Linked DNA regions of Tribolium castaneum. The protein of the gene in region 2 binds, or shares a complex with, the protein of the main gene of each other region. Links are inferred from orthologs where the notes say so. Each region holds a gene or a part of one and is shown on either strand. Other genes may lie near its edges. The genes, in order: PNPase and Suv3.

Region 1 (2,800 bases), on a different chromosome or scaffold from region 2:
ATAAAAAATGAAATTATAAAAGCCATGTAAGAGATAAATTCGGCTCAGATACGGAATGTCAGATTCATATTATTCCAAACCCTTTGCTCGGAGTCTAGACAAGATAAACTGCGTTAGATGTTCATTAGTTTTCTTGAATAAAAGCATAACTTCTTGCACCTTGAACCCCTTGGTGATGACAGTCGTAAATTTCATTCCCAGGCTTTAATTAATTCGCAAGATTGTGTTCCTGCTCCTCTGCATTCCAGCATCTTGATTGTAAAACGGAATTTATTTTTTTAATTCATTTGGGCTTTAGCTAGCGCTCGATGCATTTCCTCAACGGAAACGAAAACAAATTTAAATTTTACAGTTGTTTATAGTTATTAATTAATAAAATCGCAATCGGAACTATGAACACGAACAGGAACAAAATTTCAACAAATACGCAATCATTGTATTCATGAGTTCATTACAATTCACGTGATAAAAAATTATTCAATAATTGATTTTGTAGCGGTGTCAAGGAGAAGAATTTTTTTCTCCACTACGAATTTCCGCCGTTTGCGACAAAGGAAACGGGGAGAATTGGTCCAATAGGGCGGAGGGAAATAGGGCATGGGGCTTTAGCGGAAAAAGGCTTGACTCCCTCAATCCCTGACGATTTTCCATTTACGATTAGACTAACATCGGAAGTTTTAGAATCGAATGGTAAATTTTCACTTGGCGTTTATTCCATTTGAAAGCTGAATTGTAGGCTCAAGTTCTATGGCCAGCGTCTGTGGGGGAACTTTGGCTTTAATGGACGCAGGTGTACCAATTGTTGCGCCCGCTGCAGGGGTGGCAATTGGATTAATCACGCGATATGACGATGAGAAAGCAAATATCACGGATTATCGCCTGTTGACTGATTTATTGGTAATCGTTTTGCAATTACCGATGTTTAATTACTCTTTCAAAATCAAATAAAACATCTTGGTTTTATTACTAACTTTAAGTAATTAAGGTTAATAACCACGGAGGACTATAGATTAGGAAACGAAACGAGAGCAAATCGTACTCAAACGAAATAGTGCAATGAAACTGCACCATCTGTGCGACGCTAACGGAACTATTGAAAACGGGGACGTTTTATTTGTACGTCATTTCGTATCCTTACCTATAGTAATCCGTAGTACTTATAAATTTTAAAGTTTTATGATTTTTGTCGTCAGTGTAGCCAATTAATTTTGTTGTTTGAGCAATTCCGGCAATTTAATGTCGCATTTAAGGGAATAGAAGATTATATGGGCGATATGGACTTCAAAATCGCTGGTACGAAAAAAGGGATAACAGCCCTGCAAGCCGACATAAAAATCCCGGGACTTCCCCTAAAAATCGTAATGGAGTCAATACAGAAAGCAACCGAAGCTAAACAAAAAATTCTCCAAATCATGCACGAATGCATCGATAAACCCCGAACTGTGAAAAAAGACAATTGGCCAGTGAGCGAAAAGTTGAAAGTTGAGGCCCACAAAAGGGCGAAACTTGTTGGTGTAGGTGGCATTAACTTAAAAAAACTTTTGGCTGAAACAGGTGTCCAGGTTTGTTTCTTTTTCTGTTATTTTTGTTGGTAGCTGTTTACTTAACAGGTGAGTGCAATCGATGACACGACTTTTGAAATTTTCGCGCCGAATCAAAGCGCCATGGACGAGGCTCAGGAGTATATTAATAAACTCCTGACTGCGGAAAAAGTGCCAGATTTGGAGTTTGGGGGGATTTACACTGCCACGATCGTGGAATTGAGGGATATAGGAGTTATGGTTACGTTGTATCCGGGGATGCCCCCAGCATTGCTTCACAATTCGCAGCTGGATCAGCGAAAGGTTGGGTGTTATTATTTAATTACGTTAATTGATTTTTGTGTTTAGGTTGCGCATCCGTCGGCGCTCGATTTGGAAGTGGGGCAGGAAATACAAGTGAAGTATTTTGGAAGGGATCCGGTTTCGGGATTGATGAGGCTTTCGAGGAAGGTTTTACAAGCGCCGCCAAAGTGAATTAATTGTATTTTTTAATGAATTTAATAAAAAACACGATAAATTACAAAGAGTTTTTTTCCTCGTAACTGCCATTCCTGACATCGGACAAAAATCCACAAAAAAAATATTTTTTTGTTGTGTTCATAAAAATTGAAAATAAAATCTAAAAATTTGAAAGTGGAAAACTCTCTTCTAACTGTTGAAAGCGAATAACTTAATCGATAAAGAGTTGGGTAATTTTCAGCCAGTGTGGTCGTTATCGGCTTACTTCGTTTGCTTTGTGGAGCGCTTTGTTTTGTCTTACTCGCCTTCCCAATGCAATGGGATAAGGAGCGATTAGGAAACCAACTTATTGAGTCTTATTCTATCTTTAACTTTGTCCTAGTATCCGTAATTAAAAAAATCGAGCGAAATACACGTAATAACTGGACCTTGGTGATAAACTTTGGACAAAAAAAGTTAAGTTGTCGTATAAACAGAAACAATAATTTGCACCTCTTCAATGGCCACTATAAAATACTTCAAGTTGATATGGCCACTTGCCGCAATGGTATAAAACGACATTACTTCAAGAAGTCAAGAACTATATCGATTGATACTTACCAGGAGAATTGAATTGAAGTGCTCTTTTATATTCTACAGGTCATCAAAAAGTTCATGCGAGAGATTCTTTGCGTTTGTTTTTTTGCATTCAGTAAATAATGGGCTCTAAAGGCTATTCAAATGCACTTTTCTTTCTTTGTGTGACATTAGTTCTAAAATCTAAATACAGTAAATTTTTGTAAAAGTCGATTTGAAAAGTG
Region 2 (3,831 bases):
CTGGTCGACTGTAATTTTCATCGTGCCACCACCATTTTTCAGGGATGACAGTTATCTAACCTTAAATTTTTTCAGTTAACCTTGCTTTTATACGCAACATGTTGCAAAACGGGCGACGCCTCGGAGCCCTCTGTACCGCGGTCCAAAATTTATCGTTAAATCGGAACCTTTTGGCCCGACATAATTTAAAATTATCGCAACGACGGTTTAAAAAAAACGATAGTTCCATATCATCCCTGTTCATTCCTGTGCCTGTGAAACCAAACCCTGACGATATAAATGTGGGGGCCGAACTGACTGGCAATTTAAACAAAGCCGATTTGCTCAAGGTCCTCAATAAGTTCTACCAAAAGAAGGAAATCAAGCAATTACTTACGGAAAATGGGCTTGATAGTTAGTAACAATCCGACCTTAAGTTGTCTAAGTAAAAAGAATTTTTCTAGACTATCTGCAACACCAAGCGTACGTTAGCTTCCGGCGGTACTGTCTCGAAGCGCAGACTTTACCTGTCGATTTGCACGTTGTTGTGAGCGATGTTTTACAAGGAGCTGGGAACATTACCGATATTTTCCCGTATTTTTTACGCCACGCCAAGCAAATGTTCCCACATTTGGAATGCATGGACGATTTAAGAAAAATCTCGGATCTGCGAACCCCAGCTAACTGGTACCCCGAGGCCAGGGCTTTGAACCGCAAAATTATTTTTCATGCGGGCCCCACTAACTCGGGCAAGACATTTCACGCGTTAGAGAGTTTCATTACTGCCAAATCGGGGGTTTACTGTGGCCCCCTTAAACTACTAGCCGCCGAAGTGTACAAAAAAAGTAATTCAAGGGTAGGTGTCCAATTTTATTGAATAAATTCGAGTGCTGGGTTTTAGGGCACTCCGTGTGATTTGGTAACGGGCGAAGAACGGAAATACGCTGACTCGTCCGGACAGCCCTCGACTCATGTTTCTTGCACTGTGGAAATGGCTTCGCTAACTGCACCTTGTAATTATTTGGTTTGATTTTTTGTGGTCGTTTAATAAATTTTTAGATGAGGTTGCGGTTATTGATGAAATTCAGATGGTGAGGGATCATCAGAGGGGGTGGGCGTGGACTAGGGCCTTTTTGGGGCTGGTCGCTGAGGAGATACACCTGTGTGGGGAGGCTGGTGCCATTGATTTGATAAGCCAGTTGTGTTTGACGACAAATGAGGATATTGAAGTGAGGCATTATAAAAGACTGACTGATTTAAAAGTAGAAGACACAGCTCTAGGTAAGTGCTTTAAAAATAAAAGCCATTTATAAAATTTTTCTAAAAATTAGCGCTTTTTTGTGTGAATCAAAAACGATTTCCATATTACACAGATTATTTCTAATTATTTTTTTCTCTAAGACTGTGGCCTGAGTGTTGGTACAGTCTGTACTCAGTAGTTCACTCTATAATCACACTATCATTACAAATTATAAAGAAATAAAATAATATGGATTATAGTTAAGGTTTTTAACAATTTTACTTTTCAAAAAATTCCATAAAAAACATTTTTATCATTTCTTAGCTTAATTGATTTGTTAATGAAATTTACCTTATTCTTATTATTACGAGTATATACGAAAGCATTACCTCTTTATTTTTTTATAATTATAATAAATATGAATTAAGTACCCAATATCTCAGGGAGAGAAGAAGCTTAATTTTTTCGACGGCTTCATTTGAAAATATCGTTTTGCACCTTCCAAATATTCCATCACAGAACGTTATTTCTACCTGTTTCTTCCTATGGAGAGAGGAAAACACCATACTGTCATGGGGTATTTGGAGGTTGGCTACTTTTGCTATTTCGCTGACTAATTTTTTTGAACAATATACGAGAAAAATTGGTGAAATTTGGCGCACGCAAGTTGGTTGTTACTAACCCAGCAATACTTGGTATATTTTAATTTAGTTGAGGAAAACAGTGGCTTAGCTGGAAGATTATTTATTTATTTTCATTCATTTTTGTTGCTTCTTTTTCTGCGGATATTAACATACACTTGCGCTTAATCTTAAGTTTGTTCGTAAAGCTAAATGAACGGGAATTAAGGCGACTTCAGAATTGCTTCAATTATGTTTATTACAATTTACAATAAAGGTGGATGTGAGTGTTTTACTGCTTTATTGTTTTTATTATTCCTACTCACGAAGGAAATAAAAAAAGGCGAATAATTGCTTTAAATTGCTAGATTTAGAAAATGTAGAAGCAATGTTGGCACAAAATTCAGGTCTACTAGTTACAGTTATTATTATTATAGTCAATAAAACGAAAAATAATTATTTTTTATTTTAGTAATTATAATTTTTGTAATAATAATAATAATTATAGAAAAATAATTATTTTTTGTATATTTTTTTAATTATTTTTTAAGTGTAGGAATTTAATTACACTACAGGGTATGTCAATAGTGGGTTACTTTTGCAAAATAGAGAAACTTTATAAAAATAAAAAAAATTGTTAAGGTCCTAAGGGGTGTTTGTCCGAACATAATTTTTTTACAGTCGAAGGCCCTATCGTTGAAGAATCTTTAAAAATTCATTAAGGTTTCAAGGGGTGCTTGTCCGAACATGATTTTTTTACAGTCGAAGGCCCTATCGAAGGGCTTAATCTTCTGCAAAAATAAACAAAATCGCAGTATATAAAGTGGGTGAAAAAAAATAAAGTTTGCGAAATCGGGAAATCTTAAAGAATCTTTAAAAATTCATTAAGGTTCCAAGGGGTGCTTGTCCGAACATGATTTTTTTACAGTTGAAGGCCCTATCGTTGGGTTTAATCTCCTACAAAAATAAAGAAAATTGCAGTATATATACTGTGTGGGTGAAAAAAAAAAGTTTGCAAAATGGAGAAACTTTATAAAAATTAAAAAAATTTGTTAAGGTCCCAAGGGGTGTTTGTCCGAATATGATTTTTTTACGGTTGAAGGCCCTATCCGAGGGCTTAATCTCCTGCAAAAATAAAGAAAATCGCAGTATATAAAGTGGGTGAAAAAAAAAAAGTTTGCGAAATCGGAAAATCTTAAAGAATTTTTAGAAATTCATTAAGGTTTTAAGGGGTGTTTGTCCGAACATGATTTTTTTACAGTCGAAGGCCCTATCGTTGGGTTTAATCTCCTACAAAAATAAAGAAAATTGCAGTATATATACTGTGTGGGTGAAAAAAAAAAGTTTGCAAAATAGAGAAACTTTATAAAAATTAAAAAAATTTGTTAAGGTCCCAAGGGGTGTTTGTCCGAACATGATTTTTTTACGGTTGAAGGCCCTATTCGAGGGCTTAATTTCCTGCAAAAATAAAGAAAATCGCAGTATATAAAGTGGGTGAAAAAAAAATAAAGTTTGCGAAATCGGAAAATCTTAAAGAATCTTTAAAAATTCATTAAGGTTCCAAGGGGTGCTTGTCCGAACATGATTTTTTTACAGTCGAAGGCCCTATTGAAGGGCTTAATCTCCTGCAAAAATAAAGAAAATTGCAGTATATAAAGTGAATGAAAAAAATAAAGTCTGCAAAATAGAGAAACTTTGTAAAATTAAAAAAATTCGTTAAGGTCCCAAGGGGTGTTTGTCCGAACATGATTTTTTTACGGTTGAAGGCCCTATCCGAGGGCTTAATCTCCTGCAAAAATAAAGAAAATTGCAGTATATAAAGTGGGTGAAAAAAAATAAAGTTTGCGAAATCGGGAAATCTTAAAGAATCTTTAGAAATTCATTAAGTTCCAAGGGGTGCTTGTCCGAACATGATTTTTTTACAGTCGAAGGCCCTATTGAAGGGCTTAATCATCTGCAAAAATAAAGAAAATTGCAGTATATAAAGTGAAT

Evidence for each region.
Region 1: Suv3 (region 2) and PNPase share a complex: the UniProt entries of both Homo sapiens proteins name them as parts of the mitochondrial degradosome (mtEXO) complex. The link is inferred for Tribolium castaneum from reciprocal best matches to the Homo sapiens genes SUPV3L1 and PNPT1.

Annotation. Positions count from the first base shown.
Region 1 is NC_087396.1:24,452,057-24,454,856, reverse strand, and holds the end of PNPase (polyribonucleotide nucleotidyltransferase 1, mitochondrial), read left to right. Parts: intron 1-496; coding exon 497-690; intron 691-736; coding exon 737-897; intron 898-1,250; coding exon 1,251-1,562; intron 1,563-1,610; coding exon 1,611-1,844; intron 1,845-1,889; coding exon 1,890-2,015; 3' UTR 2,016-2,065; downstream 2,066-2,800. UniProt on the Homo sapiens protein: RNA-binding protein implicated in numerous RNA metabolic processes. Catalyzes the phosphorolysis of single-stranded polyribonucleotides processively in the 3'-to-5' direction. Mitochondrial intermembrane factor with RNA-processing exoribonulease activity.
Region 2 is NC_087395.1:15,403,354-15,407,184, forward strand, and holds part of Suv3 (ATP-dependent RNA helicase SUV3 homolog, mitochondrial), read left to right. Parts: intron 1-75; 5' UTR 76-98; coding exon 99-393; intron 394-443; coding exon 444-835; intron 836-880; coding exon 881-992; intron 993-1,038; coding exon 1,039-1,260; intron 1,261-3,831. UniProt on the Homo sapiens protein: Major helicase player in mitochondrial RNA metabolism. Component of the mitochondrial degradosome (mtEXO) complex, that degrades 3' overhang double-stranded RNA with a 3'-to-5' directionality in an ATP-dependent manner.